Rhinolophus ferrumequinum: one gene and its partners. Each later gene encodes a partner of the first gene's protein in a complex. Links are inferred from orthologs where the notes say so. Each region holds a gene or a part of one and is shown in the gene's direction. Other genes may lie near its edges. The genes, in order: XIAP, CASP7, TAB1 and CASP3.

Region 1 (7,908 bases):
AGCTACCCAATCTACGGTATTTTGTTACTGCGGCCAGAGCAAACTAATACACAGGGATTTTATCTGGGCCCTGACTACCTCTCTAGAGCCTCAACTCTCTGTCAGGCTTCATCCATCCCCTTATCAACACCCACTCACATCTCCACCAGTAGTTTTGAGACCGTGGGCAGCCTAACATCTCTGTCCTCAGTTTTTTTATCCCTAGGGTTGCATTATGATTAAATGTGATCATCTATGTAACACATTTAACACAGGAGGAACATAAAAACATTCAACAAATGTTAGCAGCTACACTGCAGCCACAAGGCATTAACTGCCATTCCCCAAATGCACGCTGTTTTGTTTCACTTCCATGAGTTGGCACGGGATGATATGCCTGATTAGAATGCCTTTCTTCCACTGCTTCACCTAGCCAACTCTTGGTTGTCCTTTAAGACTGAAGTCCTGGTGGAACTAGCTCTAGTCTACCCTTCCCCAAGTTTGGAGCCCACCTCTGCACTCCAAGAGCATGCTGTGCTTGCCTCCACAAAGTGAGAAGCCATCGCAGGGTTTTAGATGAAGGCATGACCTGATCTGGCTTGAGTACCTACTCTATGCCAGGTATCATTCTAGATATGAGTCAAGACAAGAATAAAAAGAATACTTAGCTCATAGGGTTACTGAGAGGATTATGAGAGAGAAAGTGTGCCAAGCACTTAAGACAGTGTCTGGCATAGGGTAGTCAGTAAATGCTAAATATTATTATCTGTCTATATTCAGGACACTCACATCCATTGACATCTGTGGCCTTTGTTTCAGTCTTCCTCTCTAAATGCAAATCCCACTACCATCCTTGGTAATGACCCCTCCAACATGCTAGCCTCCCTCTTGGACCTCAACTCCAGTAGCTTTCACCTCCACCCTACTCCAGACACACCATAACAACATCCTGACCTTGACATTGTTGTTGGAGTGTTGGATTTTTGCAGACTGAGTAGATTGTGTACAACCATAGGAATGCATTCGACGTAGAAAGCCCAGGTGAAATTTTCCATTAGCTTGAGATGAAAGTGTGCTCTTCTGTCTCCACCCCAAACAAGCAACAAGTCTCTTCTGTATAACTGGGTCCCTGGAAGATAAAGTCAGAGAAGGGAAAGGGAGGTCTGGCTGGAGATGCTAGTTTTGCCAACACAAGATAAAGGCAGGAATTTTTATGACTGCTTAAACAGAGGAAATTATAGGTGCAGTCTTTCTGGCAACAAGGAGGGAGTGAGAGGTTAGCAATCAAGATACCCAAGCTAAAGTCAAGACACTGAAGGGCAGATGCTGCCAATAGACACTGTTCAACATGAATGATCTTCACAAAGTTTGTGCTCTGATGATGAGTCAAGAGTAATCCTACGCAGAGATCCAAGATGGTAGAGTAGATCAATGCTGTGCTTGCCTCATCTCATGAACACATTAAAACCTGGAGAACCATCTGAAGTCTAACTGAACAGAAATTTTATAACTGAAGATATAAAGAAGAAGCCATGTTGAGACTGGTAGGAAGGGTGGAAATGCAAAACAACCTGGCCCCAAACCTCTGTGTTGCAGCTTAATATTGGGAGGGATATCTTGGCCACAGAAGATACCCCCACTGGAGAATCAAGGGACCCCAACCACATACCAGGCTCCCCAGCCCAGAGTAGTGGTGCCAGGAAGAGGAGCCCCCACAACATCTGGCTGTGAAAAACAGTGGAATTCCACAGTCCAGATGGGATGAAAGGCTGCAGGAAACCCAGACATCCTCTTAAAGGGCCCACATACAGACTCACTCACAGGCACTCACCCTGGGCTCTGGCAGAGGGACAGTGACCAGGGCCATCAGAGACGTACAGGGAAAGACTGAGTTGTGTGGTTGCTGGGTAAGGACTGCCGGAACATTTGCCATTTTCCCTGTGTGGGGTCTTTCTACCTTGCAGCTGGCAGACAGGCACCATCTTTCCTATGTTGAGCCCCCACCCCATCAAGCCCATGGCCAAATCTGAATCTGAATTGGTCTGGTGAGCTCAACTTGCTCCACCCTGGTGACTCACTAAGACCCAGCCACACTCAACTCCCTACCACAGGAGGCTTTATCAGTGGCTGAACCTTACAGGAGCCAGCAGCTGGCAGCAGGCCTCAGAGTGCCCTGGATTTTTCTGGAGCTACCCCAGGCCCGGTACTGGTAGCAGCCATCCTCGGTTCCCAGTATGGCCTCTCCCATGCACCTCCAGGTCCAGCACAGGCAGTGATCAACAATGGATCGCTGTGTAGCACCTACGAGGTAGTTGCTGGCCAGTCACAGGCAATGCCTGACCTTGGACTGCACCAGAGCCCCTCCCAAGAGGTACCAGAACCAACATACTTGAAGGTTGGCTTCAGACCACAGCAGAGCACCACCCAATTAGCCTCACAGGTGGCACACCCAAAGGGCGATCTCAACAGGCACCAGAGCCTGCTCAGGTGAATCCCACTCTGTGGGTAAGCCTCCCACACAGCAGCCCATAAGCAGTAGAAGTGGCCAAATCCCACAGCCAGTTAGCCTGAGGGTCAAGCCCTCCCACTGACATGTCAACAGCAATCGACGCTCAGCTACAACAGGAGGCCCACACAAGGGACAATTCTGGAGCACCAGGAGCAGGTGACCAGGGAGACTGTGCCACTGGGCCCCACAGGACACCTACTGTATAAGGTCACCCAGCAAGCCTGAAAGAGGTAGCAGATCTACCTAATACATAGAAACAAACTGAGAGGCAGTCAAAATATGGAAACAAAGAAACACATCCCCAATGAAAGAATAGGAGAAAACTCCAGAAAAAGAACTAAACAAATTGGAGGCAAGCAAAACACCAGAAACAGAGTTCGAAACTGGTTATAAGGGTGCTCAAGGAACTTATTGAGAACTTCAACAAAGAGATAGCAAGCATTAAAAAAAAAAAAAAGAAAACAAAAAAGATCCAGTCAGAAGTGAGGAATACAATAACTGAAATGAAGAATGCACTGGAAGGAATAACCACTAGATTAGATGAAGCAGATGACTGAATCAGCAATTTTGGAGACAAGTTTTCAGAAAACACTCAATCAGAACAGCAAAAGAATAAAAAAATATGGTGGTCATGGTAGGCCCTATTGAGAAGGTGACGATTAAGCAGAAACTTTAAGGAGGTGAAAGACAAGCCATGGAAATAACTTATCTGCTCAAGTAATTTTAACATTATCCTGGAGGTTGTACTTCATGTTTTAACTCAGATAGCCATGTGCAGGCTAGATTGTGGGGGCACCAGTCTAGAGACAGAGAGGCCAATTAGGAGACTGCGTAATGATCAGACATGCTTGTAATCAGACAGATCTTGGTTTGAATCACTGTTCCAGCTCCCACACATACTACCTAGAAGTGTGACTTTGGACAAGCTACCTAATCTGTCTAAACATCAGTGTGTTCATCTGTAAAATGGGGATAATGTTACATATTTTATAAGGTTGCCATGGGAATTAAATGAGATACGTATTTGCTTGTGGTTACTATTATTGCAATAAATCAGATGTGAGATTTCCAGAGCTTAACAGTGGGAGAGAATCAGGGGGGATTCTTAGCAAATGCCTAAAGCCCCAAAAGAAGTCTTTCCTCCTTCCAAGGTCCCTTTTCATGAAGGGCAGCATCATTTGAGGATGCAGGTGATACTTATGATCTTCCCCATGAAATGAAACTTTCTAATTCAGAATCTCTTATCTCACTACACTAACCTGTAAGAAAGCCCATTTCTGAAACAAAATTCATCTGTCGGTCTGACAATCCTACAGCATATTTGAAATAAATCCTGTATTTTATGTACACAGATTTCCTTTGTTTCTCTTCTTTCTGCTGTCTTCTCTACTCATTTTCATCTTCCAAATCCCTTCGTGCCCCCACGAAGTGTCTTCCTTTCTTTTTCCTTTCATCCTTCCCTCCTTGGTCACAGATCATATTGTAATCTCAGTTCCCTCGTTTATTAGATGCGTGCTATTGGGATAGTTACCCTCTCTGCATCTCAATTGCCTCTGTAAAATGGGTTTAATAAGAGAATGACTACCTTACAGCAAAGTGCACGTTATATGGCTACCACAATGCCTGGTCTATAGTTTAAGAGCTCAACATGTTCGTTCTCTTGTGTATCTTTTTATACTTTAATCTCTATTCCGCTACTCAACCGCAGAACCCAGCAGGTAAAAACCGTGGGGGGAAAAAAACACCTGGAGGCTAAAAGAGGAAAGGCTTGAGCTGGGGGCGGGGACTGCGTGGTGCCCATGACGCATGCGCGCCCGCTCCGTCAGGTTCTGGTTTCTAGCTCCGGGGTGGGGCTGGGGGTCGGGGACAGAGGGCTTCGTTTGCCCTGACCGCCCCCTTCCCGTCCTGGGTAGTGGCTGGACCTTAGCTGCGTCCCCAGCGGCCTCAGTGCTGACTTTGGGACGTTGGGCCCGAGGAGTAAGTTCGAAAATGGCGGAAGGGGAAGAAGGAGGGGCTTTGCAGGGCTGGAGGCTGGCCTCCGGGCGGGGGTGGCGAGAAGGAGACTGCGGGGGCTCCAAGTGGTGCGGCTTGTGCCGTGAGACGGTCGGACAGCGGCCCGTGCCTCTTTGAGGCCCTCGGGATATCTCCAGGGGATGGGCGGGCTGGTGGGCGCGAGTGAGGGAGAAGAAGGGACTTCCGTTTCCTTTTAGGCCCGGCCGGGCCTCAGAGCGGAGTTGGCATTTCCAGATTGGGGCTTGCACCGCCCCTCCTCCAGAACCCTCCCCTCCGGACCGCGCAGGGTGCCGCAGGCGATCCGGGCGAGCTCTCCTGGCGCGGTAGGTACTGCCCGCTTGGGCTTCCTCCTTCCTTCCCCTCCCTCTTTTTTTTCTCCCCTCCCCTTCCCTCCTTTCCTCTTACTTCCCCTCTCTTCCCTTCCCTTCCCCTCCGCTCCTTCCCCTTGGGCCCCGCGTTACGGGGGGAGGCCGCCCCCCTCTCAGGCGCGGGTGCCCGCCAGGGCTCCAGGCCCAGGTTCCTGGGACTGACGATGGAAGGCGTGGGCGGGTGGGCGCCAACTTGAATCCCGTAACCCCTAAGGTAAATCGAGTCAAAGAACTTTCTCTAAAATGATCAAAGGGACCGTCCTCCCTTGTGATGCATGTGGCATGTATGGATCTGGGTGGAATGCGTGTGGTGAGGGCGTGTGAAGCTGAAAGAATAGTAGGAGCCAAAGAGCTTCCGGAAGAGGAAATTAGCTAGTAATTCTTTCCAACCTTTGCTGGTCTAGTCATCTCCCCAGGATCTTCTGTAAGTAGAACAAAATTCAATCTAACTTTCAGTTTCATTATTTTAACTCCGTAGTGCACTTAATTATTTTCGTTTCGGCAGGAGGGAAAGTGGTTATTGCTGAAACTAAGCCATGGCTGGCCCGCCTCTAAAAAAAGAACGTCAATCAAAGCTTTGTAAAAACCTACCCGATTTTAATAATCTGCTACTTTGCTTTCAAATGTAATTATGTCACTAGTTCTGTCAGAACTGTACCTTGATAGTTAATGAGGCATAGCAATTTACTCTGGTAAGACTGGAGATTACTATAATGTTTCTTTTTTTTTTTTACTTAACATTTGTTACAACCAGTTCAAGAGAACACTTACAGACGGCCATCTTAGAATTATAACATTTTTGATTTGGAAGGGATCTTAGTTCAACCTTGTTATTTTACAAAAGCTGAAACTGAGGCACAGGAAAATTTCATGGCTTGCCTAAAGGTACTCGACTACTTAAATTAGAACCCAGGTTGTCTGGCTCCTTGCTCGCCAGTCTTTCTGCGCAACCACTCCACATAGCCTCCAAGCAACGAACTTCAATGTATTCAGTATAACGTACATTTCTGAAGCCTCTACCACTTTGTGACATACGACTCTGCTACTGCTTTCAATGAATTTAACATGCTTATGAAGCTGCTGCTTGAAACAGTTTCCCCCATCATTCAAGAAGTGGCAACAGTTTAGGTTAAAAAGATTTATACACACAGGCACATATGTATACTTGAATACATTCAGGTAACTTTTTGAAGGATACGTAAAAGGATTTTTTTTTTACATAAGAAAAATGTTAACAGTGGTTACTTATGCAGGGTGAAGAGAGGTGGGAGGCTTTTTACTTTGCACTTCACTTGTGTCCTAATGTACTATTTGAATTTCTTCCATAAGCAAGTATTGAGTTTACAATTAAAAACAAGTTTTAAAGTTCACACACATATATATATATCAGTATAGATAAGTATATATCAATAATATGTGTATATGTATGTATGTACATATATGTATTTATGTATCACTGGTTTGGTTTTTTTGTTTGTATTATGAAATCCAGTGTGGTTCATGTCAGACTAACTGGCAAAGGAGGCTTGATTATTGCATGCTTACGTTTCTTTGGTTTTCTCTTGTTGTGCCTAATGTAAGATGGTAAAAAGTTATATATGTTACTAGTCTTTAAATATTTTTAGAAAATGTGCTATGCTTTTGATTATCATATAACGGAGCAAACTATTAACATTCCGGATATCAAATTTGATACAATGAAAAAATTGAATGTAGAATCTTTCTGGATAAGAATCATTTTTTTAAAAAATTAAAACTGGAAAGGTCCCTGGTGATTAGTAGTTCAGCTTTTTTCTTTCTTTGAATGGGTTAGTTAAGAGTCAAAGAAGAAAAGTTGCCCAGGGTTATATATCTGATTATTAGCAGAGATTGGACTAGGATCTAGGTCCTAGTCCAGTGCCCCTTGTAAATGATACCTGTAATTTTATTGCTTTCTAGTGCATTCGATGACGCCAACTAGGCAGACAAAGTAATGGTGACTAAAGATTAGGACCATTTCAATAGATAAGAATTATTGTAATTAATGTACCATTAATTTGTATAGTGCTTGAAATATTTTAGTAATGTAAATGTTCCCTTTACATTTGTTATAATCATTAATTTTTTTTAGTAAATCCTTTGTTTATATTACAAATACTTAGAGACCCCAAATATGAAACTATATATTTCACTGTTTTTGTTTGGTCTCATATATGAGTTTGGTAGTGCTAACAGGAAATAAAAAAACTATGTTTTATCTAAAATATATATACCTATATATACATTTAGATATATCTAAATGTATATATATCTATATATAGGTATACCTATATATATCTATTATACCTATATATATCTATATATAGGTATACATATATATATAGATATAGATAGATAGATAGAGCACCTACTGTATTCCAGGCATTGTACTATGTGGTAGGGTTCCAAAGATGAATATGGCAACATAGATGCCCTTGTTCTTTTGAGGCTGGAAGATTATCACGAGCTGTCAATTCTCAAACTTAATTTCTGGTCTAATGTGGTAATAGTATATAAAATGTAATCTATAGCACTGTTTAACGTCATTGTGTGAACAGATTTGAGGAGACAAAAACAGTGGTAAAATAAGTTGATACTGAATTGAACAGATGTTAGTTTTGTATCATACAGCTTATGTGGTACAGTGGGAAAAGCTCTGGATTGGATTCCTGCGTTCTTGTCTTGGCTTTGTTTCCAATCAGCTGTAGAATTGTGAGCAAGTCACTAAGCCTCAGTGCCTCCATATTTTTTTCATAACTTTTTGATATATTTATTCCATTTTATTCAAAACAAAAAGTATTTGGAATGTCATATATTATAAAAGGGAATAAGTATAACCCGCATTCTTTTATATTTACTTTTTTCATTTAGGATCATTTTGTATATAGATTGTTTTAATCCTTTTTCTCTCATTCAACATTCTGTATTGAACATTTCCTATGTCATGAAGTATTTCAAAATATAGTTTTTATTAGGCATATTATTCTGTGCCCCATTTCCTTCATCTGTAGAATAACAGGT
Region 2 (7,616 bases), on another chromosome or scaffold:
CAGGCTGTGACAGCCTCAAACAAGAGCACATGGGCTCCTCTGGCCTTCAGGACTGTTCAGACAACATCTGTCTTAGCCTGGGTTCCCCAGAAAACAGAACCTGAGGCAAAGGCTTATGTACAAGGACCATATTCAGAGGTGTCCCAGGGAGCAGACGCAAGGAGGTAGGAAACGGAAGGAGGAGAGTCAACATGACGGTTCGTTCTCAAAGTAGCCACCACGTGATATAAAGTGCATTGGATCACTTGATCTCCACCTTCTGAGAGGCCATATAAACAACTGCTACTCAGGAACATGTCAATGGAAGGAAGGATTTATCTGGCCTCTGTCTCCCACTGCTGAAAGTTTTGCCCCACTGGGTGTTAAATCCCCTACATGTCCATGTTATGTATGGACCTAAGGAGTCCCACAGCATCTCATGACTCAATAGCAGAGAGTCCAAGACTTGGGCTCAGTGGTGACGCGCTAGAGCCAGATCAATGTAGAGCCTTGTTGATCCTTGATCTGGATACTTTTGCCAACACTGTCGCATGTCGCTTTGGCTTTTCTTTTCTTTCTTTTTTTGTTTTTTACATCTTCACTCATGGGGAGCTTGTTGTGATCATTGGAAAATTCCACAGCCTTTTGTTTCACATTAATGACTATCATGTTCAGTATGTAAGCAACTGATTTCCTTTTTGAACTTCAATAGAGCACTCATTTATCTCTTTTAAATTTCACCCTGTTGATGGTGGCCCCATTGCTTCATACCTTGGTTCTGTCATCCAGAATATGAGGTAATTCTTCCTAGCTCTGAATCCTTTCCAATGCCCTCCTGTAGATGTGAAATGGTTTTGAAATTACAGACGGATGACGAATGCAAAGTAAGGACTAAGCTACCAACCCTTCACTCTGTCACTGTCTCTCTGGTTAGATTGGGGTCATCCTTCCACGCTGGCAGTGTGTGCCTACCTTAGTTTGGGTTCTTCCAAAGCAAAGCTTAAAGCACAGACTTGGGTTCAGGAAGTTTATTTAGGAGGTGGTCCCACAAGGCAAGAATGAGGGTTTTAGGTCGGTGAACTAGAGAAAGAGGAAGAGTCCATAAAGGCATATTCTGAGCTCATTACCCTAGGGACAAGGGGGGTGCAATCTCACTGAAGACACTCTGAGGAATCGTATAACATGTTCCCCAGAACTACCCCGCTGAAGGACGGGAGGCGGGGACACTTATCCACCCAACTCTCATGTCCCTTTAGTTGCAACTTACTGTTGGGGCACTAACTCCCCTCCACCTCTAGGGTACACCTGTCTGCACGAGCTGAACATACTTCTGCAGCTTCAGAGAAAGCCCAGGGACAGGGAAGCAGAGGGACACTGCTGTGGGAACTTAAGGAGGGCTTGGTGACGTGCATCAGTGAGCCAAGGGAACATGGTATAGGGTACCCCAAGAGTCAGTCACTCAAGGAAACAGACTGTAGGCAGGGTAAAGTGTTCATATGAGATGCCATGAACTCCCACTGTCCTGCTCGTCAGGCTGATGGTGTCATTTCTGCTCCATCCTTGCACTGCTCTGCACTGTGCAGCGCTGTGTCCAGATAGGTGGGGTGGAAAATTCCTGAAGCAGAGCCTAGTTCCAAGCTCTCACGCTTTTCAAGGTCAGAACTGCCACTTCAGCCTCACCTCCATCCCTTGGGGCTTACAGGTGCCTGGAGGGGAGGTTCTTGGGGGTGTTTGATGAAGTTTCACGAGCACCTACTGATGGGGAGTTGGTGGCTTCAGGGTTGCTCCCTGCAGTCCTGAGGCCTACGCACTAGATGGTGGGGACCAAGGTAGGCAAGTATCTCTCCTTGCTCTGGGGAAGCCTGAAGGTTGGTGAGGTTGCCTAACTTGTTAGGCTGTGCCCTGAGTTTCAGCGAGTGATCTGTTTGTATAAATCTGGTCCACAGGAAGTACTGTGCCTAGGAAAATCAGGGAAATATTTTGCCTCCTCTCAATCCTAAATCTGGTTTGAGACTACTCTTTAGTTGAAATTACTATTTGCTTTGGAAATGGGATTGTGTCTTTTGGTCTAAGACAGAGTCTATAAACTTCTGTAAAGAGTCAGATTGTAAACAGTTTAGGCTTTGCGGGCCACATAATGATCTCAGTTGCATCTTCATTTTCTTCTTCTTCTTCTTCTTCCTCTTCCTCTTCCTCTTCTTCTTCTTTTCTTACAACCCTTAAAAAATGTAAAAACCATTCTTAGCTTGTATGCCATACAAAAAACGTGGCCCATAGGCCATAACGTGCCAACCTCTGGTCTAAGAGGTTGCTCACAGGACGTCAGGAGCAAGCAGTCCAGAGTTCTCTTGGGGAGGCTGGTGGGGAATAGGAAGGCAGAGGAAAGGATCAGAAATTGATTCAGCCCCATCTGGCTTTGACTGTCTGCAAATGGGGGTCTTACTCAAGCGTGAACAATATCCAATGGCTGTGGTTGTCTTTTCCTGAGCCAGGGAACCACGACATACCCTGTGGGTGGCATGGAGTGTTTCCTCTGAGTCAAGGAATGGATATTCCTCCTGCTGAAGACCATAGAGTCAGAAGTAAAGCATCCCTTGGTTTGGGGAAACACTGACCTATCCATCTGGGTCCCATCAGGAAAGGAAACCACCCAGTAATCTGAACAGGGAAAGGTTAATATAACAAATTATTACCTAGAACAGGGCATTGGACTACCAAGAGATTGGCTAGTAGAAATAAAGAGGAACTCTAAAAAATATAGCAATTGCAGGTATATTTGCAGACAACATATGTATTAGTTTGCTGGGGCTGCCACAACAAAGTACCACAGACTAGAATGCTAGAATCCACAGTTCTAGATGCTAGAAATCCAAGATCAAGGTGTCAGCAGGATTGATTTCTTCTTAGGCCTTTCTCCATGGCTTGTCGATGGCCATCTTCTCCCTGTATGCTCACAAAATCTTCCCTCTGTGTGTATCTGTGTCCTAATCTCTCCTTATAAGGACATACTGGATTAGGGCCTACCCTAATGATCTCATTTTTACCTCTAAAAATTCTATCTCCAAATACAGTCCCAACCAGGTGGGTAGGACTTCAACATATGAATTTGGGTATGGGGGGGGGAGGGCGGTTACAATCTGGCCCATAACAACATGACATGATATGACATGCCACTACCCCTATAGCTGAGATAGAGAGCCTAAGGAAGAGCCCCCACCCCCCTTCTCCCTGCTCCAGGGCTGAGATCCAAATCTTGTTGGAGAGAGTGTGGCCTAGATGACAGAGAAGTCACTGTGGTACTGTGCCAGTGGAATTTGCTAGAATCTGTCCTTTAGACTTTCTGGATACTCTCTAGGTGCTAAAGAGAGCTTTTCATGGGGAGGTATTTCAGTGGAGACACTCTGCTAGAAGAGCACCCGAAGGGGGTGCCGGGCAAGGTGCTGGCTGCTGAGTGCTGCTGGCCACCAGGCCAACAGGAGCTGGATACTGGGACACCAGGTGTGCCACAAGAACCTGAGAAGCTACCCCTTCTGCAGGGGCCTGGTTCGCAGGAGCATGCCAAACACACCAGAACCGGGAAGCAGAACCTGTTCTTCCTGCACTCTCTCCAGGGACCCACTGACAAAGCTTAACACCAGGCCATAGGCAAAGGAAAACTCCTTCAAAGGGCCCAATTACACTTTCACAGAACAGACAGACAAAAAGGGTGAATTCTGAGCGTGGAGGCACTCTATCCATAACAGGAGCAACATGAATTCCTCCTTTCGGGTGCCAGCCTGACAGGTCTGGTGAAGGCCCTCTTCCAGGTTGCAAACAACAATCTCTCCGTGTCCTCACACGGTGGAAGGGACTAGAAAGTTCTGTCAAGCCTCTTTTAGAAGGGCAGTAATCCGGTTCACCAGGGCTCCACCCTCATGACAAAAGCACCTCCCAAAGTCCCCACCTCCTAATACCCTCAGGTTGGGCATTTGCTTTCAATGTATGAATTGAGGGGATACATACAGCCTATAGAACACCCACATTGGGAATCGTGCAAATGCCTGTTTAAAATATTCAGGAATTCAGGATTTTCACAGAAAGTAATAAATTATAATTATGCCCTTACACTTGCCTGGGGCCAGTCTTTCTTAAACCAAGAAAATGTCCTTACCTGGTAAGATATTAGAGATAATATTAAAGTCGCAAGCCCAGAGGAAAGCAAGCAAAGAAAAAGACAAGATGCGGTTCTTGGCTGAGGTCACAACATGAAGACTTCACTCCTTTCACTCAAGGTGTTGGTAGCTCTTTCAGAGCAAATATCTCTGGTATGAATAAAACTAATTTCCTTGCAAATATTTATACCTCAGTGTGACTAAGTTAATTAGCTGCTCCCAAGGAGCCTTGGAAAGAAAGGCATTAGAGGCCTCGGATGGAGGCCCAAGGATGAAGAAAGCCGTGGGGGACGGGGAGAGGGATGCAGGGGTGAATGAAGTGGAATCCGTGCAAGTGCAGTTCTCTCCCTAGTTAAACTAATTCACGGCTACATATCCAGTGGCTGACACCTGGGGGCGCTCACTATATTTCAGGAATGATTCCCGCGCCAGCCACGTCGGGACTAGCGGGCTGTTTGCAAGGACTTGCTCATGAGAAAGCTGAATTGGCGTCCTACTTCTTACGTGCACAGACAGGCGCACTCGCAAGTGAAAGCAAGTTCTGGAAGGCCGGAAGACGACAGCGGATCCGACGGTGACCCGAGGGGCTCCGCCTTGGGAAAAGGTAACACCCGGAGAGGCAGGCGCCGAGCACCCAGGGGCCCTGAACCGCACAGCCTGGGGTCAAGGATCTGGCTGGGCAGGAGCTTTAAGGCTATGGGAACTGGGTCTCCGTAGTGATGCGGGGGCCCAGGTAGAGTTGGGGCAGCCCCAGGAGAAGGAAGGAGGCGGGCGCGGGGCTCTGAGGAGCGTCCCATAATTGAGCGGCGGGGGGCTGCAGGGCGTGCTCTTCCCTCTGCGTGGCCCGGGAGGTTTGCGGAGCGCACTCTGGGAGTCACTTTGAGCGCTGCGAGTTCTGCAAATGTGCCGTCCCGAGGACTGAGCGCGGCGGCGGGATCCCATAAATCTCTGCAGACTGAATCCCGCCGCGCGGCGACTTTGTCGAGGGAGCTTTCCGGGGACGATGCGCCTAGTGACCCGGGCCACTTTGCAGGGCCGAGTTCCAGGGCGGTGCTCGCGGCCAACTTTTTAGAACGCGCGACCCACTTTGCCGAGGGCTCCTCCTGGAGACTGTGCGCGCGGCCAACTTCGCGGAGCGCGCCGTCCTGAGCCGGGGGCGGGGGCGGGGGGCGGGGCGGGGCACGTAGCCCCGCCCTGCTCCGCGTCTGGCCCCGGACGGCTCCGCCCCTTCAGCGCTTTACTTTCATTTTGGGGATAGGAGTAGCTGCAGACCCTAGCCGCGGAGGCACGCAGACCGCTGCCAGCTCTGCCCGCCAGGCCGCGTAGGAACGGTAACTTCGGCCCCCGCCTCTGCTTTTGCCTTTGCAGCCCCTCGGCGGCGCGCCTCCTCGGTGCCTCGTCCGGCCTTCTCCTCCCTCCTCCGCTGCCCCGAGCGAAGTCTGGGGCGGGGGATCGGGGTCCCTAGGAGCAGGGCTGAAACTGCCGGCGCTGAAACTTTGGGGGAGAGGTTGGTTTGATCAGCTTGACTTCCCTCCTAGCCAGCGGGCGTCACCCGGTACTATTCGAGATTTGGAAAAGAAGAGGTGGATTTAAAAGGGAAGGAGCGGTTCGTTATCTCGCAGGGCTAACGGCGGAGGCTCCCGCGTCAAACAGCCTAGATTCCGGTCCCCGCTTCCGTGCTTGCAAACTTGGCTCTCTCTGTACTTATCCATTTAATGGGAATAATGGTGATTAGGGTTTCCAGGGGGGAATTCCCGCCCATTCTCAGGAATTTTGTTCGCTTTCCGGTTCCCAAATCCTGAGAAAAGTTGGTTGGGAAATTGGGAAAATCGGCTCCTTGAACCCAGGTGGTTGGTAGTATGGGCCGTCACTTTGTGGAAACAATTCATCGTGGAGGACAGAAAACAGTTTATATCTTGGGATTTGGGACCGGGAAAGCGAAAAAAAATTCCTGAGAACGCGGGGGAATTTCCGACTGGAAACCCTAATTGGTGATCCTGGGCTGACGATTGCAGCCAGGATGGAAGGAGGCGATTATGTTGCATAGCAGTGCCTCTTTCAAGGCTTAGTGTGCTACATGTGAGCTACTGTCATCATTTTGCGAATACCCTTGTGCAGGGCTCTTGAAGATCCCTTGAGGAAGTGAAAAAAGATAGGACTCTCAAGCTGCCAGAGATCTTGTAACCTGTTACCTGTTGTATTCAAGTTTGCCGTTTATGGGGCAGTATAATTACTGATGGGTGATTCTGTGAGTCATTACCAAGTCATTGCCAGATCTTATCCCTTGAACTCCTGGACTGGCTGTCTACTTACCCCAACATTATTTACTTATAGGCTGTTTCCTCTTCAGGGTCTACAGTCTGACCTTCGTCCTCGTCAGGCAGCTACTACTTAGCTTCAAAAACTCTAAAACAACCTTTGTGTAGGTATAAAAATAAGGATGCTAAGTCTTCAGAAAGCATTGTGGGGCTGGCCTAGTGGCACAGGTGGTTGGAGCTCCGTGCTCCTCACGCTAAGGTCGCGGGTTCAATTCCCACATGGGCCAGTAAGCTGTGCCCTCTACAGCAGAAAAAAAACAAACAATCCGCAAGGTGGGTTCACAGTCCAGTTCTGCCTCCTCTTAGCTGTGTGGCTTTGAGCAGGTTACTTAACTTCTCTAACGAAACCATAGTTTTTTTTCTGCATTAGAGGGTAAAAACTCCCATCTTCTAGCAATGCTGTGAGCACCAGGTGACAATGGAGAAGTTGAGTTCCCAGCATAGCCCCCTTCTTCTCCAAATGCTAGAGGTGAGAGGTGGGGGTCCTCGGAGCTGCTGCTTTTTACGCCTTTTAGAAAGATTGTCTTCATTTGGCCAAGAGTAGGGTGCAAGTTGTATCATGTCACTTTTCTGAGGAAGCAGCTACAATGAGTTCATTCCCCCCACAGGGGGGGAAAAAGTTCAGATAATAAATAGCGGGAAGTGATTTTCTTACCAGATGTATGCCAGCCACCTATTAAGAAATAATGGAAATAATTAGTAGAGGATTTTTGTTTTCAGTCCCCACAATAGGTGCTTAAAATATGGATGTAATTTAAACGTACTGGTGAAGGTTGACAACTGAATGTTTTCTTGAGTTCTGCACACAGTGTTGATAATAGGGAATATTAAACCTTTACCATAGAATGTGCTACACGGTGCTTAGCATTTTGCATGCATCGTTCCATTCAGCCTCACAGCCACCTGTGACTGAGGCATCATTGTTTTCCCATTTTATAGATGAGGAAACTGAGCCCGGGAGAGGTTGAGTACTTTGTTGAAGGTGCTAATAGATAGAGGAGCCAATTTAACCCCTGATCTTTTGGCCACGACTGGGCTTTCCGCTGCGCTCCTGGGGTCCCTTTGGTTCTGTTGTGTGTCCCATATCAACAGTTCCTTCAGGACACTGAAGCATTAACACATTTTAAGTATATTTTAGTTATAACATTTATATAGAAGTATTTATTGA
Region 3 (7,564 bases), on another chromosome or scaffold:
TGAACGGCCAGAGTTCTTGCCCTCTGGAAGGTCACTGCAACCAATAACTAGAGTTTTCCATGATCGAAAATGACCGAGGGAGTATCCTTAGGGTGGGAATCAAGAGAAATTTCTGAGGAGGGGCTTTCATTTGCTAAGAGCCTGGACAATTGAATAAAAGTCCACCAGGTAGTCAAATGTGGGAACAACAGGTACAAAGATGGAGGCCGGAAACAGTGTGGTTGTGTGGAAAACTTCCAGCAATTACAGTGAGGCTGAGCTGTGAAGGGCCTTGGAGGGTCTGCTTCTCTCACAGGGTTGCAGGGAAAGGCCCTGGAGTCTTCGACCGAGGGGTTTTTACCTACAACAGCAGAACACTTCTGACGTCAGATGTGTGGGTTTCCCACAGTAAGCAATTCTCCAGCTCTCTGCAGACACCAACTGGGTGTCCTGTAATCTAAGTCAGTCTAACACTAACTACCCAGAGTTAGTACAGACCCCACAGGTTAAGGGTGGATTCCCACAGACTGCCCCCTCCTCAGACATGAGTCCCAAGTAGTGGGTCCTCAGGTTATCTACACTAATGTCCAATTTGGCTACAAATCGGAGGTTCCCATGACCCCCTCCTCAAATTCCATAAAATGCTATGACAGCTCAAGAACTCAGGGAAACACGTGACTTGCTGTTGCCGAGTTATTAACAAAGGATACAAGTGAAGAGGTGATAGGGTAAGATCTGGAAAGGTCCACAGCGTGCAGGAGTTTCTGGTCCCCCTGGAGTTGGGTTGTGCCACACTCCCAGCACGCAGATGTGGGTTCACCAACGCAGAAGTTCTCCAAACTCCTTCCTTTAGGATTTTTATGGAGGTTCCATTACATAGGACGGTTGCTTAAATCACTGGCCGCTAGTGCTTACTCAATTCTTAGCTCCTCTCCCCTCCTGAGATGGGAGTGGCAGGGCTCAAAGCTCCAAACCTCTAATCACGTGGGTGGTTGCTCTGGCAACCAGCTCCAGCCTAAAGTCATCCAGGGGCTTCCAGCCACCTGTCATCTCATTACATAAACCTGCAAGATAGTTGAAAGTGCTTGTTATCAGTAACAAATGATGCTCCTACCATCTCTATCACTCAGGGAAATTTCAAAACCCTTTTAGAAGCTCTGTGGGGACCAGCCTGGTGGCTCAGGTGGTTGGAGCGCTGTCTCCTAATGCTGAGGTTGCCGGTTTGATTCCCACATGGGCCAGTGAGCTGCGCCCTCTATAGCTAAGATTGGTTGAACAACGCGTCTTCCTGGAGCTGGGCTGCTGTGAGCAGCCGGAGGTTGTCAGGAGCTGCTGAGTGCTGCTGTGTGCTGCCGCCAGCCAGCGTGAGTGGCCGGCAGCCGGCGAGAGCTGCTGTGAGCGGCCGACCGATGACCAGCAAACCGACTGCCTCAGCCGGGGAGCACAAGGCTCATAATACCAGCATGAGCCAGGGAGCTGTGTCCTACACAACTAGACTAAGAAACAACGGCTTGAACTGGAATTGGGGGGGGGTGGGGGGAGGCAGAAGAAAGGGGAAAGAAAAAAAAAGAAGCTCTGTGCCAGGACTGTGGGACCCAGTCCAAAATATGTATTTCTTATTACATCACATCACAGAGTCAGAAGACCTAGGTTCAAATCCCGACATTTATTTATTGGGTAACTTGCTGAACTGGAGTTTCCTACATTATAAACTAAAGATGACTACAATCTTTATCTCACAAGGCAGGTGTGAGAATGAATAAGTGTATGATGAGAAAGCATCCAGCAAGTGCTTTGGCATACAGTAGGTGCTCAATGTGTGTTTATTATCTTTAAAAACATTAAATTGTAATCAGGGCCTACCACAAGCCAGGTCTTTCCATGGCACCTCATCTAATCCTCGCAGTCATTCGGCCAGGTAGCCTTACTCCCATTATAAGAAGGGTCCTGAGGCTCAGACAGGGGAGGTGACTTATTCAGGGTCACACAGGTGACAGGATATGGGGCAGCGATTAGAATGGAGTGGGTTGGGCTCCAAATCCTGATTCTTTCCAGACTCTTCTTCAACAGGAAAAACCACCTGGCCCCTCCCAAACCCCTTCCTGGCAGAGAAGACTGCTCATAGCCTCCTGGTGTCCGTTATCCAATCCTTCTTTAGTACAGGAACTGTACTTGGGCACATTGTAGCTCAGTCCAAAGCTTACATTTCCTCACCTCTCTTTTAGCTCCATGTGGCATGAGTTAAGTGACAGCCAAAGAGATGTAGGGGAAGCATCATGCGGAACCTCTGAGGTCCCTTAAAAGGGAAGGGAGATTGCCTGCGAGTAAATTTTGTTATTAATAATGTAAAAAGAAAGAAAGAAAGAAAGAAAGAAAGAAAGAAAGAAGAAGAAAGAAAGAAAGAAAGAAAGAAAGAAGAAAGAAAGAAAGAAAGAAGAAGAAAGAACAAAGAAAGAAAGAAAGAAACAAAGAAAGAAAGAAAGAAACAAATAAAGAAAGAAAGAAAGAAAGAACAAAGAAAGAAAGAAAGAACAAAGAAACAAAGAAAGAAAGAAACAAAGAAAGAAAGAAACAAAGAAAGAAAGAAACAAAGAAAGAAGAAAGAAAGAAAGAAAAGAAAGAAAGAAAGAAGAAAGAAAGAAAGAAACAAAGAAAGAAACAAGAAAGAAAGAAAGAAAGAAGAAAGAAAGAAAGAAAGAGGTATCATCTTCCTATCTTCCTCTTGCCTTCCAGCTGGCTGAACTCAGACAAATGGCTGGAGCTCAAGCAGTCATCTTGAGTCATGTGGAGCTGTGTTGAGAGGAGAGCAAGATGGTGAGTCACCATCCTAGACTGACACCCACTTCCCCCTTCTAAATCATCAGCTCTTCTCTATTAAACCTTTCCTTTGGCATTTAAACAGGCTCAAGTTTCCCCAGCCTAACAGGAAAAACCCTCTCTCAACCCCACGTTCCCTTCTCTTCCTCTTCCCAGTCCACCAATTGGGAAGTCCGCCTATTCTCAAGGTCTCCATTTCCCAGCTATTCTTCAATTCACTGCAAATGGAGTTTGGTCCTACCATTCTACCTGAACTGCCTGCGCAATTAAAGATGGCTACATCTAATAGACTTTCTCCAGAGAGTTACCTTCTAACTAGACCTCTCAAAAGCATCTCACATTGTTGCCCCAGCCCTCCTTAGACACTCCTCACCTTGGGTTGTGCTGCCTCTGCTCCCCTTGCCTTTCCAGCTGCTCATTCTGTCATCTTTGCCAGTTTAGCCTCTGCTCTGAGCTCCAGCCTTCTCCATCTAAAGACTGACTTGATTTCTTTTCTTGAATGTTTCAAAAGCCCTCAAACTCAACACGGCCAGACTGAACTCCTGGTCATTACCTTCTCCCTCTCCCAAACCTAGCCGTTCTTGCCAGAAATCTGGAAGAATCGTTGACACATCACCACCCACAACCAATCCTTGCTCCAGCATCGCAGATTTCATCTCCTAAATAAAGTCCACTCACTGCCATCAGCCAAATCAAACCACTATCATCTCTCACCTAGAACTAGTACAACAGTCCCCTAATCGGTCTTCCTGTCTCCACTCCAATCCCCTTAAAAATCTGTTTTGTACACAGTAGTCACAGGGATCTTTCTACCTGAGATCGTGTCAGTGACTTGCTGGGATGTGCACAGCTTCCCTTTGTCCTCCAGGTGAATAGCCCAACTCCTGCCTGGGGCTCACAAGGTCAGAGTCTGCCCTACGCGCCCTTCATCTCACTCCCCCTCCATCTTTTTTCCAACCACATCAGCCTTCTGTAACACGCGTGCTTCTTGAACCCACATGCTCCCTTCCCTCAGGCTTCCTGCACTCGCTGGCCCTTCCCTTCCCTGTTACCAGTTAACACTGCACTACCATGCTTCATCCATAAACTTCTCTTCCTAGCATTTACCGTGTTTCCCCGAAAATAAGACCGGGTCTCAGATTAATTTTTGCTCCAAAAGACGCATTAGGGCGTATTTTCAGGGGATGTCTTATTTTTTCACGTACCACAATCTACATTTATTCAAGTACAGTCATGTCATTTTCTTCTGGAACATCATCATAACGTACCAAAATGCGGCCGTCTGGCTGATCCTAACTGGGGCTTATTTTCAGGGTAGGTCTTATTTTCCAGAAAACCCAGTATCACCACGTGAAAGACGTATGTATATAAACGTCCTCCCCAATTAAAACGTTAGCTTTTTGAAGGCCTGTTTTGCTTGCTGCTTCACCCCTAAAGGCCCAGGCACGGTCACCCAATGAATATGTGTTGCGTGAACGAATAACCCACCTTCCGCCTTCCCCATCGTGTTCCTGCAGAACCTAACCCCGGGTTTGGGAGCCTCACCTGAAAGGCATCCTGGGGAAAGTGTGCAAATAAAAATGGGCGAGGGGCAAACCTACGGAAGCCTTCCCTTTATCTCCCACTAGAGAAAAAGGTGGAAGAGCGCGACCGCGTCCACGCCCCGGTGCGGCCCCATCCCACTCGGCCATGGGGTGGCGCTGGGCGCCTGCTCCCCGGTAGCGCCGGCCTCCGGGCCGGCATCAGGCCGCTCTAGCCGCCCTTCTCGTCTGCTCTGCCGGGAGGCGGGCGCGCCCGCCGGGTCCCTTCAAGATGGCGGCGCAGAGGAGGAGCCTGCTACAGAGTGTGAGGAAGAGACCCGCTCTCCGGGCTGGGGTTTGGGAACCGGGAGGGAGCGGGGAGGCCTGTCGGGTGCAGGCGCCGCTGCCACTTTGCCGTGGGCCGCCTACCTGTCCCTGGCGGGATGTGACCGCCGCCCTCCCCTCTCCAGGGCCGGCCCCCCTCGTTCCCTAGGTCTGGGCGCGCGCGGCCCCGCGAGCCCTGCGCAGGAGCGCGGTGTGCCCGGCCGTCGGGGGCTCGGATTCCGGTCCTGGAGTCCCCTGTAGCGTCCAGGGCGCGTCGAGGGTGGAAGCATTTTGGAGCCAGAAGGGAGTATGGCCTCGCGGCAGCGGAGGGAGCAAGGGTGGTGAGCCCACCCGGCACTGAGCAGGCAGTCGTGGGATGATAATCGTAGCGGCCTCAGCCACTTTTATCCCAGGCTTTGTGCCAGTGGCTTTACATTGTAAGTTTCATTTTCCTAACAGCGTTATGAGATAGGTACTGTGATTCCTGTTTTACAGATGAGGAAACTGAGGCACAGAGCGGTGTCATTTGCCCAAGGCCACAGAGCTGGTAAGTGGCAGAGGCAGAATGAAAATCAGGCAGTCATTCCAGAAACCCTCTTAACCTGTAACCTATACCAAAGGAATGACCGCAGTCAGGCAGCCTGGCTTCTGGTCCTGGCTGTATCTCACTATGCCTCCATCCGCCTCTGCCTCCATTTCCTTATCTGTAAGGTGAGCGCAGGCAGTGGGAGGATTGTCATGAGACCCACCCCGACTCCCAGTCTGGACTCTCATGGGCTGGTAGCTGATGTCTTCCAGCCCCTGGGTCCTCCTGACACATGTACATAGATGCACACACGTTGGCACCGTGGGCCTATTCTGACCTGCCAGGATTGGGTGCCGGTCCCATGGGTCCTCCCCAGACACAGCAGGCACACAACAGACACAGTCTGTTGTAATTGCCTGTGGACATGTCTGCCTCCTGTACTGGAAGGTGAAGTCCTTTAAGACAGGGACTTGTGATCTACCTGTACAATGAATAGTGCCATCAGCACCTACCACCACTAGGTGCCAGGCATTCAGTAAATATTTGTAAAATAATGAGGAAAGCATTTGTAGCCAGGTCTAGTGCTCAACAGTGGCCGTCCTGCCCTTGAGGGTCTTGAAGCAACAGAATGTGTGTGTGTGGGATGACCTTCACTGCTGCGTATGAATGACAGGCTTTGTGTAGACTCTGAAATTGCTCTTCCAGGACAGCAACTCCCAGTGGGAGGGAGGGAGTAGCTCTCTTCCTACACCTTTGGCTGCCCCCCTTTATTTAACTACTTGATAGGTCGGCCTTGTCATTGGGTTGGTTAGGTAGACCTGGCCTCTTGCTTTGTAAGCTCCCAGACGTCAGGGCCCCTGTGTAAATGTCCCCATTGTAAACATTCCAGAAACACTGGCTGCAATGTGTGGCAAATGATAAAAGTGATAACTGCTGTCGGCTAGCTTGGCTTGGAGACTGGCTGCCAGCTTCCCTCCCCTGTAGGTGCGATGGAGCCCAAGGAACTTGGGTTAGACAGAAGGTGAGCTTTACTAGCTCCAGAATGTGTTCCTGGGTGGTGGGGGAATCTTTGAAATACAGGTTAGTTAGCTTTAAGCATGTAGCATCTTGACGAAAGCAAAGGGATGACGGATGTCTACACAAGGCCCCTCCCACCCTAATGATGCTCAGGACATTTCTGCTCAGAGGGTGTCAGTGTGTGGGGCTTGCTGTCCTGCCCTGTGCTGTTCTGAGTCTGGGGAGAGCAGCGCAGACACTCATTCAGCAGATGGCTTTGAGGACTGCTAGTCTGTGGTTACTGGACCTGGGGATGTGAAAGTGAATAAGGCATGTACACACTCTTGCTCCATTTGCAGTTGAGCTTGGGAGGAGGAGCCACATACCGCTAACACAATGTGTGAGGCCTCTGGTGGCAGTGCGTAGAGGGGCTGTGGATGGCTCGCTTTGACTGGGCCAGTGGAGGCTTGCAGGAAGCGCTGGGACTCGCTGACGTGGTGCTGGAAGGGAGTGCTGGGGCCAGCGGGCAGCGCGCTTCGTGGGATGACATCCTGAGAAGTTGCAACTTTCGTCCCCAGGCAGTGTGGTACTTTAAAAGATCTTTTGAAGAAAAGAAGAGCTTTTGAAGATAGTTTGATGTGTTCAAAAGAACCTAGGCCCTTTGCAGCCAGATAAAACAGAGTATGAATCTTGCTTGTATGGCCTTGGGTAAGTCACGCAACATTCCTGAACCTTGGTTTCCCCAACCGAGAAGACTTCCAGAAGTGTTGTTAGTAGTAAATGAACTGACATGCCACGCTCCTAGCCTGGCACGGTCACACTCCAGTTGTGAAGTTCCACCTTCAGTTCTGCTACCTATGGTTCATTCTCTCAAATGTCAAATGGCACTGAGCACTCACTGTGTGGCAGGTGCCGGGAAGGTTCAGGGGACACGACCCTCACTCTAGGAAGGGAGACAGGAGTAAACAATGCAGAAATACAGATGCTATGTGATGATTATCACATCACGTCAGGTGGTGCGGTGGGGAATCGTCGGCACACACAGTGGTCGAGGAGCCATTTCAGGCCGCATGGCAGGGGAAGACCCCAACGTTTGATGCGGTGCAGTGGGGTTCGGGAGGGAGTGTTCCTGCCCGAGGGAACAGGGATGCTAAGGCCTGCCTTAGGAAGCATGGAGGGGACCCGTGTGGCTGGAGTGGATTGCTGGGAAGAAGTGCGTGTCACCCAGGTCCGAGGGCGCCATGTGGATTCCGTTCTGAGTGCGATGTGAGCCTCTCGGCTGGTTTTGAGTAGAGGCCTGATGTGATCTGATTTGTGATCGGAGAAAGCCCTTCGTGGAAAAGCGCTTGCGTGGCAAGAGTAGAAGCCTGGAACCTTCTGAGTGGCACTCACGCTTGTCCGG
Region 4 (7,935 bases), on another chromosome or scaffold:
ATGATTATATTTTAACATTTGTTTATGAATGACATGTTTTTGTTTGCATACAATGCTTTCATGTTAGCCATACAAGGTAAGGGGCCAGGTAACACTTTTCCAATTTGGGATTATGGTTTACTTACAAAGGAAAAATGATAGGTTTTCAGAAGAAAGGAGGGGAAGTTTCTGAGATTTTAGAAGGGGGAAGGCTTTTATTGTAGATAAAAAATGGCCATAAATTCTTAGCCATTCCTCTCATCAGGAGATGCCATTTAAACCCACTCTCATACTGAGTCTGGGTTTGCCCAGGTGACTTGCTTGGACCATGTCTCACTGACAAATGGGAAACAAGGAGACATTTAATAAGTGCTTTTGCATTGGATTTGGCTATCTTGGACACCTTCCCTGAGATTGTCATGCTATAACTCTGGCCTCATAGAGGATAAAAGCCATCTGGAGAAGAACCAAGGAACCTCAGCTAACAGCCAGCACCAACTATTTCAGATTTCTGAGTTAAGCCATTTTGGATCATCCAATCATCATCTGAATTCAATATATGAGTAAGCCTGAGTTAGTTTAGGCGAGATCTGCCAAAGAACTGCTCAGCCAACCCACAAAACTATAAGAAAAAGAATTGGTGGTTTTGTGTTTGTTTTTTTTAAGCCAGTAAGTTTGGGCCTGGTTTTTACACAGAAATAACCAATAACTGAGTTTCCCTCTTCATTAATATCTTCTATGTCATAATATATCTATGTAGAAAACAAGTATGTTAGTTTTTTTCAGTGAAATAATAATATATACTAAAGCATTTGAGGGTAAAATTCCTATTTACCTTTGGCAATGTCTTTCCAGTACTTGCACTTATCAAGTTGATAAATATTCTCTAGAATTTTAGCAGAAAACTCTGTGACAACACAAACCCACTGGCAAATGATATATACTCCCTGAATGGAAAAATATCCCTAAAAGATTGAGAGGATAGGAATGTCATGACATGGCTAGAAATAAAGGCATATTATCCATAGATTTCAACTATAACAGACTTAAGATTCTTCTCTGTGACACCTAATCCACATGAAAATTATAAATTACAAACCAAGAAACAAATATAATTCTAAGGGTGTCAACATAAATTTCCTAACAGATACACTTACGAAAGGAATGTAATTTCATTCAACTGAAGAGATGGGGCAACTTTTAATACAACTGCTTTAATTTTTCAATACAAAATGATACAGCCCTTTATTGCTAGATTCTGAGTATTCAGTTCACTTTAATCTGCTTCACATAAAGATAAAAATTCCCTACATTTAGATAATCTAATTGGGAGAAACTGACGTTTTTCCTATGAAATTTATTAACTTTTAATAAAGCCCACTGATTAGTTAATGAAGAAAATAAACACAGAATGCAATCAGATGTGAATTTTAGCTCCAGTACCTAATAACTGACTAGGACTAACCATGTGGATCTTCACACTTAATGACGATGACATCAGGAAATTTTTTTTAGATTTTGTAAAAATATTGTTATGACCATGGGAGTGAGTAACTGAGAAAACCATGAATGTCAAGAGAGAGAAAAAGTTCAGTATCTATTATGCTCTCCTGGTCTTTACACAGTTTGAAATTTTTAACAGCTGGATTGAGGGTTAGAGGACAACTGGGGCTTGGAGTGTTCCAGCGGGAGGGCTGAATGACAAAAGCAAAGGAAATGAAGAACAGGAATTCATCTGTATTTCTCAGCCCTTATCCTCCAGAAATGCTTTCAATTCCTGGTGGGGAAAGAGTTCTTTCTTCTCTATAACCATACATCAAAAAACCCTTTCCACATAGGGTCCATAACTACCGATTTTTGGTAACAGTTTCCAAGTTCCAAAGAAAAATATGTATTGTATTTTAAAATAGTAAGCCTATTGTTTATTTCTAAACATTGCGCCAGAATTTTTATTTAACCATGTTTGAAACTGATTTTACAAGTAAAAGGGGTCAGGCTAGAAAAAAGGCTGGCTTTAGTCCTTTCAGAGAGGGGGAGGTGGGGATGGACGTGGAGAGATGACTCAGAAAGCCAACCTAAGTAGCTCTGGTTTCCCTAGGTTTATGCCTAGACTTGCCCAGCTATGACACTTGATAGCCTGACTCCCAGGAGCAGCTGGACTAGGGGGCACATGCTTCGTGATTACTGGCTTCTAGGGAGATCTGAAACCTGCCTTGCCATAGCTCTCTCTAGCCCAGTTCTCTTGGTTTCTTTCTTGTTTTTGTCTAATCACAAGTCAATTCTTATTCCCCAACTCCAGCTTCTCCCTCTGCCCTCTGAATGGATTCATCAGTATTTTGTGTTTTCTTGCATACGTGTTCTAGTTCTAGTATTTAGTAAGGTTCTGTTATTTGGCAAGGTTTTCTTAATCCCTTTTATGGCCTCTTGGAATACAGTTATACTATTTCTCCCACTGCTAAAGTATTCATAATAAAGTATGTGATTAAAATTCATTTACAGTAATATTATTATATAAATGTACATTCCAGATGAATGACACCTTAAAGAATTAAATAAAACGAATTAACTGAATTTTCTTTTTTTCCCCACTTCAGTTCACTTTGCCTCTCTATGCTTGAACAGAAGTAACTCATATTTAAATTTTCCAAAAATCTCCTGTAAGGATAAGACATACTGTTCTTTTCCGGTTGCCCCTTTCTACTATCCCCACAGGATGTCCTATGCAAAAAGCCTAACTCTGCCAGACCAATCACCCCTAAGTCCATTTGCATAACTTTTCCAGGGGCACTCGTGAATGATTCAGAGCGTCACTCAATCCACACTACAGTTTACCTCAGGAAATCCAAACTCTCTCCAGAATCTAGCCCTAAACCACTTGTGCAGTTTATGTCTTACTGTTCAGCCCTCTCACCAAATGAATGATAATGACCAGTCCCCGCACCTGGCCACTCCAAGTGCCCCTCTTTCCTGTTTCTCTCACCTGTAATACCCCACTTCCCTTTCCCAATTTCTTCCCCTTCAAGGGCAAGATCAAGTTCTGACCCCTAAGACCCTTTGTAAAAAGAAATTACTAGGTTAAGAAGACAACTGTTTGTGTCTCCAGCCAACTGTTTGATATAATCAAAGTCTCTCTAGACTAAGTAAATTCGTGTAATTTACACAGAAAAAGAAAACTGCTGCTGTTGCTTTAACTGAAGCATCATTTTGGTAAGACAGTTTAGCACAGGAAGGGGTTTGGGTATCACAGTGGGGTAACAGGACTTGTTCAACTACACCAGCGCCTTCCTTATGAATAACCGCACGTTGAACCACTGTTTGGGTTTGGGAGTAAGTCCCATTCTTCAGTTTTACTGCAGCAAAAAAAAAGGGACTGCCAAACATCCGTCCTCTCTCAACTTGGGAGGGATTAAGAAAGGCCTAAATTTTATTCCTGGGGTCCAAGTTTAACTCCTGTAACTTTTTTTTAATTTTTTTATTGGGAAATATTAGGGGACAGTGTGCCTTTCCAGGGCCCATCAGCTCCAAGTCATTGTCCCTCAATCTAGTTGTGGAGGGCACAGCCCAACCCCCAAGTCCAGTCGCCGGTTTCAATCCTAGTTGCTGCCCATGCGGGAATTGAACCGGCAACTCTGCAGTTGAGAGCTCGGCTATAACCACCCCTGTAACTCTCCTTTTAACAAAAGCAAACGACTTAACCTTTTTAAGCTCGGGTGGGGATTGGAATTCCCACCTCCAGGGGTTGTTGGAAGAATAAAATAAGAAAACGTAGTGTGAAAATGTAAGAGCACAAAATAAACACTCAACAAATGGTAGCCATATACAGAGGGTGCCAAAAAAAAATGTATACACATTCTAAGAAAGGGAAAAAAACTGTATTAAAATTATACTACTATATACTGATAACAAAAGATGAACACAAGTCATGTGTATACATTTTTTGGCACTCCTGGTATATAGCGAGGTATATTTGTGTATAAATTATAGCCCCTGATTTATGCCCCAGTAGGCAAAAGTGTTGGGGGCAGTCTTGTTCTTATCATGGGGTCCCTGACTTGTCAGAATGTTACGAACCTCTTGAAATTTGACGCAGAACTTCGTTGTCAATAGCGTTGGTATATTCAGCGAAAACAATTCTTAGGTCTCATCAGGGTCTGAAAAGAGTTCGTGACCCAAAATAGGCAGGAACGAGTGGGGCAGTTAAGGTTTTTGATTTAGGGACGGGGAACTGGGGGTGACCTAAGGAAAGGCCTCGGGGCGCCCGAGGGGAAGCAGATTTCCAGTGCGGATCGCGGCCCGCTTCCCTTCATCCCCGAGGTCACACTGGGCATCAGGCCCGACCTTGGCTCCCTCTGCTCCGCCCCCCGGGCCCGGGGCGGCCTTCAGGTCCCCGTCCGTTTACCTCCAGAAACCCGCGCAGTAGGCGGAAACCCCTCGGCCTTCAGCAGCTGGCGGAACCCATGACGTGCCCATCGAGACCGGAATCCAGTCTTCAAATTGCGCGCGGGGGCGGGGCGTCCGGGGGCGGGAGGGCGGGGAGCACGCGCGCCTAAGAGAAAGCGGCTGGGGCGACGATCCCGGGCGCGCAGGGAGGGGTGGGAAGGCGGGGAGCCCGGGAGACAGCAGCGGGTCGTTGTCCTGAAGGGGCGGGGGCGGGGCGCACCGGGGCAGCGGGGACGTGTCTGCGGGGAGCGCAGCGCCCGGGACCGAGGGGGCGGGGTCGGCGGGGGCGTGGCCAGGGGGCGGGGCGCCCGGGGCCGCGGGGACGTGTCTGCGGAGAGTGCAGCGCCCAGGACCGAGGGGGCGGGGCCGGGGCGGGGCTAGTGGGGGCGGGGCCTGCTCCCGAGCCCAGCGCTACCCTCGGCGGGCGGCGGAAACCAAGCTTCGCAGAGAGGGGAGAGCTGTTGGCTGTTGTGTGGGGGCTGCTCGGTGAGTGCTGCCCTCGTCCCTTCTCGCCGCGGGGCCGTTAGCTCTGGGCCAGCTCCCTCCATCCTTCCAAGCACAGCACCCTTCCCAGAGACCTGTCCAGACCTGCAGCTGCTCGGGGATGACGGAGGAGGTGGGCACGGTCCGGGCGGAGGATCCTTTGTTCTGCCACGACGACGGGTGCGAGCACGAGCACTGAAGCCAGCGAGCTGGAGACCCGGTCGGGGGTAGTGGGCGGTCGGGCGGGGGGTGTGGAGGCCCGACAGCGGCCGGCGGGGGAGCGGAGACCCTGCTGGAGCTGCGGAGCTCGGAGGACGGGAGGCGGGTCCAAGACCGAGAGGCCAAGCCGGGAGCGTCGAGGCGGCAGGCGGGCGACTGAGCTGGGGATGTGGCGGCCGAGAAGTGGAGACCTGGCTGGAGAGCCAAGCCTGGGGGACAGGAGGCCGAGGCCGGGTAGCAGGAGGCTGGACCCGGGTCGCGGAGCCTGGTGGGGAGGGGCGCGGGCGCTGGGCCCGAGTGTCGAGGCCGGGTAGTAAGAGGTCCGACCCGGGAGCAGGAGGCCACGGATGCTTGGAAAGGGAGGGCGGGCTGAGGTTTGAATCGGGAAGGGAGGAGCTGAGGATCGGCGACGAGAAACGCTGTCTCCAGGGCAGGAGGCGAGTTTGGTGCTTACCGGCAGGCGGTTTCTCGGGGCTGATCCTCCCACTCTTGGGCAAGGGTTTGGTCTCTGCTGCCTTGCCTGTCTCGAGCTTGGATTTTCTCGGGTTGACTGTGTGACTTAGTTTTCTAGAGAGGTAATTTTCAGCATTAAACTCCAATTCCTTTTCAGACCTGAAGCCCTCGGTGAATCCTTCCAGCTCCTTCCTCCCTGTGACTATATATCCAAGGCCAGTCACCTGGGAGCTGCTTTGAAATCCCCCCAGGCCATGGTGAATAAGAGTGCCTTTCTCACTCTTGTTTTCAGTGTGTCGGCCCTCAAGGCAGCTGCCTCTTTCCTTGTTCTCAATAAATGGCACCAAACCAAGAAACCGGAAACGAACCTTCTCACCTACCTCTCCCAGCTCCTTCCTTGGTTAGCCACCAAGCCTCCTTGACCTCCTAAATGTCCACTGCATCTGTTCACTTCTCTCCATAACCGATTTAAATCACCCTAGGCGCTCACCTGGCTGCACCAGCCTCCTCATTGGTCTCCATACTTCCAGACCCTCTGCCCCTCTTCAATCCATTCTTTATAGCACAGGCTTTGCAAAATAAAAATCTGGAAAACTGTTCCTTTGCCCGTATGATAAACCCAGACCCTTAACATGGTTAACAAAGCCAAACACAGATTGGCTCCTTGGTTCCCTCCCCTGCCTTATCTTTTATGATAGCACCCTTTCACTTTCTGCATGGCCATGCTGATCTTAATACCTGGTCTCTGCCTGAAACACTCTTACATTCCCTCTTTCCCCCATCACATCACATTTGCTTGAGGAACGTCTCCTTATGTTTCTGTTGTCATTAAACACTTCAAGGTTAAGTTTTCCTATTATGTTCCTTTTCCATCTGTCATTTCCTAAGAAGGGAAAGTCATACCCTTTGCAGTTGCTTGTTTACTATCTTCCCCACTTGCTTCCCTAAGCAAATTCCATGAGGGACTCTGTTTATCTTGTTCCTTATTGTCTTTCCCCATACCCAGAGCCTGGCACAAGTGAATGCCCACACTACACAATTATCTTTTAATTATTCCCTATCCAGAAAAAATAAACCTGTTTTGGGATTACTTAGCAAATTATAATTAAAAGATGTGGCTTAGAAAGGAACGGTAGAGGTGAATTATGGAATTGCTGAAAAATGTGGATGTGCAGGATAGTAATAGGAGGGGCTTAGCAAGACGGTTAGACCAGACTGTATCAAAATGTGCTCTGCCGGTTTGAATATGTTATAGGCACATAACCTCTAAGAACCAAATGGAAAGCTTAAGTCATTCCTATTATAGCCTGATGATTGAGCTTCGGTATTGGTTTACTCTTGCAAAAAAAGATTTTTCAAATTTATGATTTGTTTTAATGAATGAATGAACAACTTACTGGAGTTTGGCAATAAGACCTGTTCACAGTAAAAAAGACATGAAACATTGTATCTAATTAAATCAGATTTGCTTTTGCTATCCTGAAAAATGGTCTTGCCTCCTGCCCTTTTTTAAAAAAAGACTAACATCTTATCTGATATAAGCATTTACAATGTTTCTTTGCTGTTTTGCTTTCAAACCTAATTTAACACAATCTTCTGCTTCATCCTCCTTCTAGTGCTAGAAAGCAGTCTTTATTTTCATGGATGTCATTAAATCTATTCTGGTGCCTCGTATTAGGTAGTTCTTTAAGCTCTGCCTCAAAGAAGGGAAGCACTGGTGTTTGGTTCTAGAAAAAGAGGTGGGAATTCTTAGACTGTTAGTTATTTTGTTCACATTTAACAAATACAAATGTAATGGAGGGAAATAGGTCCTCTGTAGGCAGACAACCTGAGGCCAAGTCCCAAGGGCTGTCTATACTAACTAGCTCATCCATAAATTAGGCGTAAGTAATTTACATATCTGTTGGGCTTGTGAGTATAAAACGACATAATGTCCGTTACAATGCTTTGTAAATCTCTATGTAATGTTCTTCTCTGCCTATTTTGTTACTGCCTTCAAATTGCTACTAGAGCTTCTGAGTTAGGGTAGAGTAAGATACTTATCTGATACAAATGTAACCCTGTCCAGCCTCTGCCTTAGTTGAGCCACTTTTGAATACCAGTGAGCCTTGGTGAAAGTTCCACATAGGGAAAGTGTCTTTGTCTCTTCCCTTACTTGATGGGCTCAGGATGTACTACCGTACTCTGCGCACAGTTGGTGTTCAGTAAATGACTGGCGCAAATAACAAATAAACTTCTCAGTTTCAAACCTCTGGCAAGCAGGATTTCTTTAATGGGTGGTTGTAAACCTGAATCTGCCTCTACAAAGGAGTGGTTCTTAGTGGGAGGAAAGAGGTCTTGTAGGTTATCGGTAATTTTTAT

The links.
Region 2: the proteins of XIAP (region 1) and CASP7 are in contact, whole or in part, in a crystal structure (PDB 1I51), measured with the Homo sapiens proteins. The link is inferred for Rhinolophus ferrumequinum from reciprocal best matches to the Homo sapiens genes XIAP and CASP7. Residues at the interface, in NP_001158.2 of Homo sapiens: His136, Ala137, Leu140, Leu141, Gly144, Gln145, Val146, Val147, Asp148, Ile149, Ser150, Asp151; in NP_001218.1 of Homo sapiens: Tyr230, Trp232, Arg233, Ser234, Pro235, Gly236, Arg237, Trp240, Glu274, Ser275, Gln276, Asp279, His281, Phe282.
Region 3: the proteins of XIAP (region 1) and TAB1 are in contact, whole or in part, in a crystal structure (PDB 2POP), measured with the Homo sapiens proteins. The link is inferred for Rhinolophus ferrumequinum from reciprocal best matches to the Homo sapiens genes XIAP and TAB1. Residues at the interface, in NP_001158.2 of Homo sapiens: Phe33, Ala34, Ser38, Gly39, Pro41, Ser43, Ala44, Ser45, Thr46, Arg49, Tyr75, Ser78, Ala79, Val80, Gly81, Arg84, Phe92, Ile93, Gly95, Tyr97, Leu98; in NP_006107.1 of Homo sapiens: Glu99, Ala100, Arg103, Thr201, Gln202, Leu203, Glu212, Asp213, Phe216, Arg217, Gln220, Arg241, Glu269, Glu271, Ile272, His273, Ala275, Gln276, Pro277.
Region 4: the proteins of XIAP (region 1) and CASP3 are in contact, whole or in part, in a crystal structure (PDB 1I3O), measured with the Homo sapiens proteins. The link is inferred for Rhinolophus ferrumequinum from reciprocal best matches to the Homo sapiens genes XIAP and CASP3. Residues at the interface, in NP_001158.2 of Homo sapiens: Ala137, Leu140, Leu141, Gly144, Gln145, Val146, Val147, Asp148, Ile149, Ser150, Asp151, Thr152, Ile153, Tyr154, Asn226, Leu231, Gly232, Arg233, Asn234; in NP_001341706.1 of Homo sapiens: Tyr204, Trp206, Arg207, Asn208, Ser209, Lys210, Asp211, Trp214, Gln217, Lys242, Thr245, Glu246, Phe247, Glu248, Ser249, Phe250, Phe252, Thr255, Phe256.

Annotation. Positions count from the first base shown.
Region 1 is NC_046284.1:33,251,692-33,259,599, reverse strand, and holds the start of XIAP (E3 ubiquitin-protein ligase XIAP), read left to right. Parts: upstream 1-4,906; 5' UTR 4,907-5,083; intron 5,084-5,107; exon of another isoform or gene 5,108-5,293; intron 5,294-7,908.
Region 2 is NC_046299.1:14,265,953-14,273,568, reverse strand, and holds the start of CASP7 (caspase-7), read left to right. Parts: upstream 1-4,610; 5' UTR 4,611-4,734; intron 4,735-5,336; exon of another isoform or gene 5,337-5,461; intron 5,462-7,616. UniProt on the Homo sapiens protein: Thiol protease involved in different programmed cell death processes, such as apoptosis, pyroptosis or granzyme-mediated programmed cell death, by proteolytically cleaving target proteins.
Region 3 is NC_046293.1:8,078,022-8,085,585, reverse strand, and holds the start of TAB1 (TGF-beta-activated kinase 1 and MAP3K7-binding protein 1), read left to right. Parts: upstream 1-4,552; 5' UTR 4,553-4,608; coding exon 4,609-4,641; intron 4,642-7,564. UniProt on the Homo sapiens protein: Key adapter protein that plays an essential role in JNK and NF-kappa-B activation and proinflammatory cytokines production in response to stimulation with TLRs and cytokines.
Region 4 is NC_046287.1:77,145,543-77,153,477, forward strand, and holds the start of CASP3 (caspase-3), read left to right. Parts: upstream 1-4,934; 5' UTR 4,935-5,023; coding exon 5,024-5,035; exon of another isoform or gene 5,036-5,082; intron 5,083-5,757; exon of another isoform or gene 5,758-5,828; coding exon of another isoform or gene 5,829-5,831; intron 5,832-7,935. UniProt on the Homo sapiens protein: Thiol protease that acts as a major effector caspase involved in the execution phase of apoptosis. Following cleavage and activation by initiator caspases (CASP8, CASP9 and/or CASP10), mediates execution of apoptosis by catalyzing cleavage of many proteins.